Linked DNA regions of Callithrix jacchus. The protein of the gene in region 1 binds, or shares a complex with, the protein of each later gene. Links are inferred from orthologs where the notes say so. Each region holds a gene or a part of one and is shown in the gene's direction. Other genes may lie near its edges.

Evidence for each region. Proteins that work in one complex are often made in the same cells at the same time.
Region 2: FNIP1 (region 1) and LAMTOR2 share a complex: the UniProt entries of both Homo sapiens proteins name them as parts of the lysosomal folliculin complex. The link is inferred for Callithrix jacchus from reciprocal best matches to the Homo sapiens genes FNIP1 and LAMTOR2.
Region 3: FNIP1 (region 1) and LAMTOR5 share a complex: the UniProt entries of both Homo sapiens proteins name them as parts of the lysosomal folliculin complex. The link is inferred for Callithrix jacchus from reciprocal best matches to the Homo sapiens genes FNIP1 and LAMTOR5.

Annotation. Positions count from the first base shown.
Region 1 is NC_133503.1:77,027,105-77,030,616, forward strand, and holds part of FNIP1 (folliculin-interacting protein 1), read left to right. Parts: intron 1-1,733; coding exon 1,734-1,849; intron 1,850-3,512. UniProt on the Homo sapiens protein: Binding partner of the GTPase-activating protein FLCN: involved in the cellular response to amino acid availability by regulating the non-canonical mTORC1 signaling cascade controlling the MiT/TFE factors TFEB and TFE3.
Region 2 is NC_133519.1:16,441,561-16,445,538, forward strand, and holds the start of LAMTOR2 (ragulator complex protein LAMTOR2), read left to right. Parts: upstream 1-1,166; 5' UTR 1,167-1,227; coding exon 1,228-1,295; intron 1,296-1,600; coding exon 1,601-1,763; intron 1,764-3,978. Other genes in the region: UBQLN4 (ubiquilin-4), read right to left, coding at 1-350. UniProt on the Homo sapiens protein: As part of the Ragulator complex it is involved in amino acid sensing and activation of mTORC1, a signaling complex promoting cell growth in response to growth factors, energy levels, and amino acids.
Region 3 is NC_133508.1:148,257,654-148,261,849, reverse strand, and holds the start of LAMTOR5 (ragulator complex protein LAMTOR5), read left to right. Parts: upstream 1-1,384; 5' UTR 1,385-1,509; coding exon 1,510-1,706; intron 1,707-2,581; coding exon 2,582-2,643; intron 2,644-4,196. UniProt on the Homo sapiens protein: As part of the Ragulator complex it is involved in amino acid sensing and activation of mTORC1, a signaling complex promoting cell growth in response to growth factors, energy levels, and amino acids.

The DNA of each region.
Region 1 (3,512 bases):
AAAAGGACAAATAGTGTATGATTTCACTTATATGAGGTACTACAAATAGGCAGATTCATAGAGACTGAAAGTAAAATAGTGGTTACCAAAGGCTGCAGGAAAGAAGAGAATGAGGAGTTATTGTTTAATGAGTACAGAGTTTTCATTTGAGATGCTGAATACAGGGTTTTTGTTTGAGATGATGAAAAAACGTTCTGGAAATGGATGGTGTTGATGGTTGCACAACATTGTGAATGCTCTTAGTACTATGGAATTATATACTGTCAAGTGGTTAATACAGTAATATAATTATATTACATATTTTATGTATACATATATTCAGCAATTAACGTTTTCAACATTTTCTTATGGCATTATCAGCCTAAAGTATTGTGAGAAAAATATACGCTACAAAGCCACAACCATTTGGTTGTGTTTTTCCAATAATAAAGTGGATTTTTATTAGGAGCTTAATAGCTGATTTTCATTGGAAAGGAACACTGAAGAATCTAATGTTTAGCACCTGAAACTTCTGTTTTTTCCTCAAATATGTTAAGCATCAATTCACATGATAAATCACCTATTTTAGTAAATTGAGCAAGTTAATTGACAAAAAACAGAATATATGTGTTTTCATATATTTCTGACTTTTGTCACCCAGGCTGAACTGCAGTGGCACAGTCATGGCTCAGTGCACCCTCAAAACCCTGGGCTCAAGCAGTCCTCTCACCTTAACCTCCTAACTAGCTAAGACTACAGGATCGTGCCACCATACCTGGATAATTGGTTTTTGTTTTTTTTTTTTTTTTTTTTGTAGAGACAGGGGTCTCACTATGTTGCCTAGGCTGTTCTCAGTGATCCTCTTGCCACCACCTCCCAAAGTGTTGGGATTATAGGTGTGAGCCGCCATGCCCAGATGTGTTTTAACTTTCAGTCTTTCAGCTTAGAAATTGGGAAACTACATAGCATTCTTTGTGAAGTTTTGCCAACTGTTTTTTATTCTCCACAGAATACATCCTTTCCTATGTAAATACAATTGAAATTTTTTATTCATAAAAATTTTATATTGATCAAATTTACAATAAAAACATAGCAGAAAAATGTTTTGGAAATGGATAGTGGTGATGGTTGCACAACATTTTCAATGTATTTAGTACCACTGAAAATGCTTTAAAAAGGGGCCAGACACAGTGGCTCCCACCTGGAATCCCAGCACTTTGGAGGTCGAGGCAGGCAGATCACCTGAAGTCAGGAGTTCAAGACCAGCCTGGCCAATGTGGTGTGAAACCCTGTGTGTACTAAAAATACAAAAGAAATTATCTGGGCGGTGTGCATGCCTGTAGTCCCAGCTGCTTGAGAGACTGAGGCAGGAGAATCTCTTTAACCCGGGAGGCAGAGATTGCAGTGAGCTGAGATTGCACCAATGCACTCCAGCCTGGGTGACACAGTGAGACTCCATCTCAAAAACAAAAACAAACAAACAGAAAATTGTTAAAAGAGTAAATTTTATATCATGTGTATTTTGGCACTGTTAAGAGAAAAAGACGATGTAGAAGCTAATCTTTGATATGAGCCAGGAAAAGGTTCACTTCCCTTTTTAGCTAAAACTACATACTTTAAAAATGTGCTTCAAATTTTAGTTCATGTTGGAATAAATAAAGAGAATTGTCTGAAACATTTTGTTTTGGAATTTGCCATGACTCAGTGTTGCAAACTGTTTTCTGACTTGATTATTGATTCCTCCCTAACTGCAGTGTGTAATGCATCTTGAAGACCGGTTGCAGGAGCTATACTTCAAAAGTAAAATGCTGTCTGAATACCTGAGGGGGCAGATGCGTGTTCATGTCAAGGAGCTGGGAGTGGTTCTGGGGTATGTTAATGGTTTCTTCTCTGGCTTTGCTTTCATTGCTCTGTCATCAGGTAAGGAATGTTGCTCAGAATTGCCCTTTTTCTTTTAAGTATCTTTTTCTATGAGAAGCTGGAGGCTGTTATCATTTAGGTTGCCCTGTACCATATAATAGCAGATTTCCTGTCATCCACAAATCTGAAAGGCATTATCCCTTCTTTGTGCCATTACATATAGTAGGTTGAGAATATAGTCAGAATGAATTAAAATCTGAATTTTTGTGTCAGAAAAAATAAGTACATACTCATTTTATTTTTTAAATATGTTGAAAACTCTTTTTTCCCAAGTATGTATCCTGCCTTCCAAATGATGTAACAGAAGTCTGTGAATGATAATATGTTATCTACATATTACTCCTCCTTCCCATTAACTATATATTATATCTGTCTACTCTGCATTTTTCTGTGGCAGAAAAGTTAACAAAAATGCTTACTGAAAGAGCAATGGGAAGTTGGTAGGGAGCATTGTATGGCCCTATTTCATTATGTTCTGTGGTCACTTTTCCTCTGTTCTTTGGCCACTTTAGGCGTGTTCGTGTGATTCATTTCTTGAAATCCCATTAAAGAAAGTAAAACAAGCCAGAACTTTTATCTAGTTTGGCTTTTATGATGGGAAAAGAAACCAACATCACTGAGAACCTACTGTATGTCAGAAACCCAAATTAAAAATTTATTAGTGTTATTTCTTAATTCGTATTATCATCCTACAGTGTGTAGGCAGTGTCATCCAGGTTGGAAACAGATGATTCTGTCAGTTAACATGCCACATGTCACACACTGGTAGGACTGACAGGGATTTGAATGACTCTGTATCTTTGTTACTTTAGACCCTCTTTATATTCTGTAGCACCACACTCTTGATCAAGTCCTGATGAAGATTTTTACTTGAGTTATACAGAGAAAATTGTTTTCCAATATTTGGAAAATCAGTAACAGGATATAATCTTGTATATCTGGGGAGTGAGTGAGTGTGTGTGTGTGTGTGTGTGTGTATGTGTGTGTTTAATGCCTTTATGTAAAAATATTTAAGATAAGATTTAAAACTAACGTACATATAACCAAAATGCACAGTATATTTTGGCAGACAATGAAAAGTAGGTCATTGTCTTCTTTCCCCCAACTTCCAACCCCTATTCAGATGCTGTTAACAGATTGTTTTATAGAATTTTTAAATGAATATTTTTTAAAAATCTATGTTGGTTTATGCTCTTATGTTGTTGTACAACTTTTAATATATCTTGACTATTCATATAAGCACATACTAATCAATGTCATTCTTCCTAATGGCTGTCTAGCATTCCATTATATTTTGGAACTTAGATTGTTTTTAGTTTTTTGCTACTATAAACCAATGCTAGACTGAATATCAATCTTTGACGTTTGTAGGATAAATTCATTGAAATAGAATTTTTGGTTAAAGGGCCTGTATTGATAGTTTGATAGATTATACTGAATACTCTCCAGAAAGTTTCAATATGAATTCCCACAAACAGTAATAGGCACTCTACTCACTACTGGCTCTTACCAAATTTGATCTTTTCCAAGGTACTAGCTAAAAAATGGCACCTGATTTTATCCAAATTTCTCTAACCATGAGGGATCTGATTACTACTGTCTATGTTGATTGG
Region 2 (3,978 bases), on another chromosome or scaffold:
TGACCCGAATGGGGGGCCTCGTCTCGGCCCCGCTCGGCTCCGCCATGCCGCCGCCGCCGCCACCCGGCCGCCCGCCAGCCCGTCCAGCTCCTCCTCCTCCCCGCCCGCCCGGCCAGCCCGGCTCGGCTCCAGCGCCTCCAACACTCCCCTCTCTCCACCTCTCCCCTTCCTCCCCTCCTCTCTCCTCCCCTCCCCGAGGCTTCACCGCCCCCTCCGGACCAGCCGCAGCCACAGCGCCCCGGGCGGACCGGGGGGGCCACTGCAGCGGGTTCCGCCCAGGGCCGAGCCCCGGGTCCGGAGCCAGGCCCGGGGCTCGCCAGGCTGGGGCCCCTGGGGGGCGCTCTGGGCATGGGGAGGGGCGTGCCCTTCACTGCGGGGGCGGGGACGGACTCCTCGGGGAGACAGAGGCCCAACGCTGCCCGCCAGAGCCGTGCCGCGGTCCCTTCCAGCCCAAAGCTTCCCCGCCCCCTCCGCGTCTAACTCCGCTCCGGGACAAAGGACTTTCTGTGTCGCCGCTTTATCTCCATTCCCTGTAATAACTTGGTCTTTCTTGGAAGCCCAAAGTCCTTTCCAGGCCAGGGGCCTTTCCCGACCTGGAGGTTGGGTTTTCCCACCAAGTTAAGTCCTTAGGATCTTAGCTCTGGGACTGACCCTATAGCTCCGAGGGTCACGGCCTAACTGGTCTATTAAGAATGGTTCCAGGGAGTTGGGTTTTGGCTGCGTGGCCTTTCTGAGCCTTGGTTTTCTCAAGATAATAGTAACAGTTCCCCTCGCCTCATCGCACAAAATTGTGCATAACGGAGAAAACTGTTTTGAAAGTAACCAAAGGCATGCCTGACAAATATAAGGATGTAGTCTAATTATTGAATCGTGGACTGCCAAGCGGACACGTTGACTCCTTTCTCCCCGAAGGAGTTAAATGTCCTTCCAGTGCTGCCACTGTCCTTCCACTCCCGCTCTTTTTGCCCCCCGCAACCGCGTGGTCAGCCTGGAAAGGCGAACTATAGTTCCCAGGGTGCCTCGCGAGGCCACAAGGAACTACGATTCCCAGAGCCGCCCGCGGCGGGGTGGGGAGTTGAGTCGGAACTACAATAACCAGGCGAGGAAACTACAACTCCCAGGGCGTTTGGAAGCAGGCCACGGGACTACGGGAAGCAGAAGTCAGCGGCTCGCGGGAGGCACCTCGGAGGATCTGGGTGCAAAAGCCCAGGGTTAGAAGCCGTAGGCATGTTGCGCCCCAAGGCTTTAACCCAGGTGCTAAGCCAAGCCAACACTGGAGGAGTCCAGAGCACCCTGTGAGTGCGGACCACGGACCCGAGCGGCCAGCCCCGTAGTTGGGCTGCGCGCGGCTCCCTGAGGGAGGGGTGGGGAAGGATCGCCGGGAAGGGAGGAGGCGGCAGAGCGGGCAGCGGCTGGGAGTGCTGGCCAGTAGATACCCTCTCGAAAAGGGAAGCCGGTGTGCTGGGTGCTTAGGGCGCGTTCCAGGACACACTAAGCCCAGACCCTTGCTGGCTGTGCTAGTGGTGGGACTTGGGCTGGAAACCCAGGCGTTTTACTCTCTGTCCTGGGCACAACGTTATCCTTCCCCGCCCCTCACCAGGCTGCTGAATAACGAGGGATCACTGCTGGCCTACTCGGGTTACGGGGACACTGACGCTCGGGTCACTGCGGCCATAGCCAGTAACATCTGGGCCGCCTACGACCGGAATGGGAACCAAGCGTTTAATGAAGACAATCTCAAATTCATCCTCATGGACTGCATGGTATGGAGAGGGAAGCCAGACTTCCCCTGCCCCCCAAGGGGATCCCAAGGGGGTGACCCGGACCCCATCCTGGATGGTTGGAGGGGCAGGGACAGTGTCTCCGGAAGATTACTAAGAGTTGGTCTGCAGCAGCATTCGTAATAGGCAGGACCCTATTCATCAAATGGTGGTGAGGAAGGAGCCCTGGACCTGAGAGGTCTGACTTGGGTTCTGGTTTCAGCCATCCACTTATCAGTTGTGGAACCTTGGGTAAGTCGCCTAACCTCTCTCAGCTTCCTTACCTCATGTCTAAGGAGGAAGCAGCTATTTCCCTTTTCCCGCTCCCCTCCTGGATGGTTGTGAAGATCGGATGAAATAATGGGTATAAACAGTAGAACGATGTGCAAACACGAAGTGTTGTCATCCCAGCCTCGCCGACTCACAGAACCATGGTGGTCTCCAGACCCTAGTCCAACCCCTCACGGTTACAAACAAGGGAAAATGAAGTCCAGAAAGGGGAAGTTGCCGTTAGCTTGTGAACCTCTTAGTATCTGTTTAGTCAATAAGTATTTAGGTCCTTGTAGTGTTCTCAGGACTAGGGAAAAAAATAGCAAACAGAAAGGCAAAACCCCCAGCCCTAATAAATCTTAACAGTGATACAATAATGGCTCACTGCAGCCTCGACCTCCCTGGGCTCAGGTGATCTTCCTGTCTCAGCCTCTTAAGTAGCTGGAAGTACAAGCATCCACTACCACACCTCCCTAATTTTTGCATTTTTTGCAGAGATTGGGTTTTGCCATGTTGCCCGGGCTGGTCTCGATCTCTTGGCTCAAGTGATCCACCTGCCTCAGCCTCCCAAAGTGCTGGGATTACAGGCATGAGCCACTGTGCCCGGCCACATTATTTAAAATAAGTAAAATATGTAGTATGTTAGGTATTGAAAATGCAATGTAAGGCCGGGCGCAGTGGCTCACGCCTGTAATCCCAGCACTTTGGGAGGCTGAGGCAGGTGGATCTCGAGGTCAAGAGATCGAGACCATCCTGGTCAAAGAGGTGAAACCCTGTGTCTACTAAAAATACAAAAATTAGCTGGGCATGGTAGCGCGCGCCTGTAGTCCCAGCTACTTGGGAGGCTGAGGTAGGAGAATTGCTTGAACTCAGGAGGCGGAGGCTGCGGTGAGCCGAGATCGTGCCATTGCACTCCAGTCTGGGTAACAATAGCGAAACTCCGTATCAAAAAAAAAAAAAAAAGAAAAGAAAATGCAATGTAAAGAAAGGAGGGAAGTGAAAGTATGAGTTTGTTGGGTGTATGTGTCAGAGACAGTCTCACTGAAAAGGTGACATTTGATCAAAGATCTGAAGAAAGGTCATGGCAAGCCATGTGGCTATCTAGGGGAAGAATATTTTGGACAGAACAGCAAGCACGAAGGCCTTGAGGCAGAATTGTGCCTGCCCAAGGATCAACAGAGTTGGTTGGTATGGCTGGAGCTGCATGAAAATGAATGGAGGGTGGTAGGAGATGGTGTCAGAGAGGCAGAGAGTGCAGTGCTTGGTTTCCCGCGTAGAATGAATACCTAGTAAAAATTTGTTGAACTTACTTTTTTTTTTTTCCATATCGGCCAGAGGGTGAACTCTCTAGGAAGGGTCTTCATTGTAACCCAGCTGCTATTCTCTTCTGCCACCTGCACAACCAATGCTATTTTAGTTCAACATATGACGCTTAGTGAATGCCTAGAGCTGGTGCTATAGCTTTCAAACGTTTTGACCACAACCAAGCCATAAGAAATACATTTTAAGGGGCCAGGCACTGTGGCTCACGCCTGTAATCCCAACACTTTGGGAAGGCGAGGCAGGCAGATCATGAGGTCAGGAGTTTGAGACCAGCCTGTCCAACCTGGTGAAACCCCATTTCTACTAAAAATACAAAAATTAGACCGGGTGCAGTGGCCCACACCTGTAATTCCAGCACTCTGGGAGGCCGACACTGGCAGATCACCTGAGGTCAGGAATTCAAGACCAGCCTGGCTAACATGGTGGAACCCCATTTCTACTAAAAATACAAAAAATTAGCCAGGTGTAGTGGCATGCGCCTGTAATCCCAGCTACTCAGGAGGCTGAGGCAGGAGAATCACTTGAACCTGGGAGGTGGAAGTTGCAGTGAGCCAAGATCACACCATTGCACTCTAGCTTGGGCAACAAGAGTGAAACTCAATCTAAAATATATCTATATATATAT
Region 3 (4,196 bases), on another chromosome or scaffold:
AGTGGCTCACCTGCAATCTCAGCCCTTTGGGAGGCCAAGGCGGGAGGGTCAGGGCTACACAGAGACCCCATCTGCACAATTTTTTTTTTTAAATTATCTAGGTGTAGTGGTGTGTGCCCGTAGTCCTAGATTCTTGGGAGGCGAGGCTGAGGTGGGATGAGTCCTTGAACCTAGAAGGTTGAGGCTGCACTAATCCATGACAGCATCGCTGCACTAAGCCATGATAACGCCACTGCACTCCAGCCTTAATCCACAATTAGGATACAGCTATAAATGGAATATTCTGCAACTATTACGAAGGACGTAAGTGAAAACTTGACATGGAAAGACATTTATTCTAAACTCTGTGAAGAAGGCCAGATACAGAATTGTACCTCCAATATATATGTCAATTTTGCTTACAAAAGAAAAAAAAAACATGGATATGGTGAGTCAGCCTGTAATCACATTTTGGGAAGCTGCAGTGGGAGGATCTTTTGAGGCAAGGAGTTTGAGACCAGCCTGGATAACACAGCAAGACCCCCATCTCTACAAAAAAATGTAAAAATTAGCCAGCCATGGTGGCTCAAGGCTGTGGCCCTAGCCAGTCAAGAGGCTAAGAGGGGAGGATAGCTTGAACTCTGGACGTCAGGGTTGCAATGAGCTATAATCATGCCAGTGCACTCTGGCCTGTGTGACAGAGCAAGATCCTGTCCCCAAAAAAGTTATTTTAAAAAGGCAAACAAAAAAACATTAAAAGTGTCCATTTGCAAAGACCACTATCTGAAAGGATACTCTCAAAGGGATTAAAAGTCATCTTTGGACAGTGGGACCATAAGTGTTTTCTATTTTTATCACTTTTATAATTAATTATTTTTGTCTTTTTGTTTTTTTCCTTTTTGTGGAGAACGGGGTCTCGCTATATTGCCCAGGCAGATCTCGAACTCCTGGGCTCAAGCTAGCCTCCCGCCTCTGCCTCCCTAAGAGTTGGGATTACAGGCGTGAGCCACAGCGCCCGGCCTATAATTAATTTTTTAAAGTAATTTTTAAGTAGTCCTACCTAGTCTTCCTTACAAGTTAGGACTCAGATGCCACTCTCTTTCCCTAAACTGACCTGAGTCCCCTCACCATAATAAGCACCAGTGTCTTCGCTAAAATCCCAACACTTTGCCAACACAGCTGGGGGTTGAACCTCGCTCCCTCTAGTCCTTTAGTCCTCTGAGTCTTTCCCCCTACAAGCCTATGGACCCGCTCCCAGAGGTCCCCTTCGTACCTGCCCCACAGGCTAGATCAGGCCCTGTCTGACCCCTGGGTTACTGTAAAACAGAACGTCTGGCCCCTAGGTCTCAGAGTCGGTTGAATCAGAGTCCAGAGGTTAAAAAACACTGACACAAAATGCCAGGCCAGGAACTGAGGCACTGAAGCTCGGCTACAGACCTCGCTCCTGAGAGGGAAATCATTCCGCTGGGGAGCCACGCGCGGGTCACCGACTGTCACCTTCGCCAGGCTCTGTGCGGCGGAAGCGCAGTGATGTTTTCCAGTAAAAAACGCGGACGTTGCGCCGTGATCAATTTTGTCCCTTTGGAGGCGCCGTTCCGGTCCACGCCCCGCTCGCGTCAAGTGACTGAGGCCTGTGGTGGAGTCGGACGCGGCGTGCCGCTGGGTTCTGGGCCGGGGTGGACGGTGGGTGGGATGGAGGCGACCTTGGAGCAGCACTTGGAAGACACGTGAGTAGTGCGCGCCTCTTCGGCCCGTCCTGAAGTCGCGGCGGAGGAACTTGAGCGGGACAAAAGGCGCGAGCTGCGAGTGCCTGCCAGGGCGTCTCGGGGACGTCGCGCTACCCCCAGGACAAGGGATGAGGGAGCTGAGCCCTACCCGAGGGCCGCAGGGCGGGACTGGTGACCCGGAATTAAAATTCTGCCGGGCACCGCACATCCCCTCTTGAGCGAGTCTCCTGGGCTCAGGCTACGGCCAAAACTGCTTATCTCGTTGTTGAAATCGTCTTTACGGTCAGGGTTGTTCTGCGGGAGGTTTAGGAAAGGGGTTAACTTTGGGGAAGGTTGTGCCAGTTGTGCACAGTCAAGCCCTGCAGTGTAAACAAACATTTATCTCCTGTGTGTATCCTGTCAGTTACTTGGTACTTACGTAGATCAAAGTCATCCTTTAAATTTTTCGAACAAGCAGTATTTATGTAAAATTCGAAACTGGAAAAGTATAAAGGGTACAGAGACACCTGGCCTCCCAACGATGTCCCTCAGCTTCCATTTACCCTCCAGGAGGCGATTTAAGAGGTTTTCAACAGTTTTAAATGAGTTAGTACTAAAGCATGCATTTTTAACAAGAGTGAAAACATCCTAGATATTGCAGTGTTTGTGGCCCTCCAAAACTCAACAGTACTTAGCAGTTTTTTCTCTCTCATGAGAGAAAAAACTGGTTTATTTAAATTAATTAATTAGAATAATTTTTTTCTTAGAGTGTGATAATGAAAAAAGATTGAGAAACATTGATTTAAAGCACTTAATGTCTGGTACATAGAGCACGTGTATGCTCAAATCCTTTTTCTCCCATTATCTGCTTCAACTCTCTGTGTTCCTGAAATTAGAATGAAGAATCCCTCCATTGTTGGAGTCCTGTGCACAGATTCACAAGGACTTAATCTGGGTTGTAAGTATCTCTCATGCCGTGTGATGAATTCCGTAGCATCTGCTGTTGACTTGGAGCCTAGCGTGGTTTTGTTTTCTAGCTTTTATGTTCTGTTACCTTGCCGGTTCTTTCTGAGTTTCTGAGAGTAGAGATTATCTCCAAATAACAGTATCAGAAAATTGAAAGTTTCAGTTGGTATTTATGAAGGAGGATGTTCCCTGCTGTTCTATAGCACTAAGTAGTTGTCTTTACTAAAAATGGTATTTGAATCATGTTAAATGAAGTCTAGAAAGGACTTGAGAGAATGACAGCTGTTAACCATTTATTGAATGTATGCCATATGCTGAGACTGCTAGGTTCTAAATACACTGCCTTTAATTTTCACAGCAACCCCGCAGAGTGGATGGTGTCCTATTTTTAAGCTCAACTACACTAAACAAGAAGTGAATAGGCAGTAAAATGGGGTTTCAGTGTTGGACATACCTGGGCTCAGTCCCTTACTTTTTGATTTGCTGGCAGTATGAACGTGGACCAAAAACTACCTTTTAGGGCTTCATTTTCTTCACTAGGTTGTTATTTAATAATGGTAATCATTAGAATTACATTTATTGAGCTTTTGTTATATACCAAGCACCATTGTAAGTCCTTTACATATACTAACTCTTTTATTCCTTAAAACAACCCTGTGAGGTAGAAAAAGAAGTGGAGGGGCCAGGCGCAGTGGCTCACATCTGTAATCCCAGCAGTTTGGGAGGCCAAGGCAGGCAGATCACTGAGCCCAGGAGTTCAAGACCAGCCTGTGCAACACAGTGAAACCACCCCCCATCTCTATTTTATATATATGTTTTTAAAATTTTTAAAGGCCAGATGCTGTGGCTCATACCTGTAATCCCAGCACTTTGGGAGGTCGGGAGGCCATGGTGGGCAGATCACTTGAGCCCAGGAGTTCAAGACCAGCCTGTGCAACACAGTGAGACCTCCCCCATCTCTATTTTATTGTTTTTTAAATTTAAAAAGGCCAGATGCCATGGCTCATACCTGTAATCCCAGCACTTTTGGGAGGTGGGGGTGGGGACAAGTGGATCACCTGAAGTCAGGAGTTCCAGGCTAGCCTGGCCAACATGGTGAAAACCCATCTCTACTAAAAATACAAAAAAAAAATTAGGCTCGTTGTGGCAGGTGCCAGTAATCCCAGCTACTCAGGAGACTGAGGCAGGAGAATCGCTTGAACCTGGGAGGCAGAGGTTGCAGTGAGCCAAGATCGTGCTGTTGTACTCCAGACTGGCAACAAGAGCAAGATTCTGTCTCAAAAAAAAAAAAAATTAAAAAGAGAAACTTAGACACGGAGGTTAAATAAGTGGGTAAGCTAGGGTTTTTGGCCCTGAGGCCTCTTACTCGTGATTTTTTTTTTTTTTACAGAGATGGAGTCTTGCTCTGTTGCCCAGGCTGGAGTGCAGTGACACAGTCTCGGCTCACTGCAACCTCCACTTCCCAGGTTCAAGCTATTCTCCTGCCTCAGCCTCCTGAGTATCTGGAATTATAGGGGCCCACCACCATGCCTGACTAATTTTTGT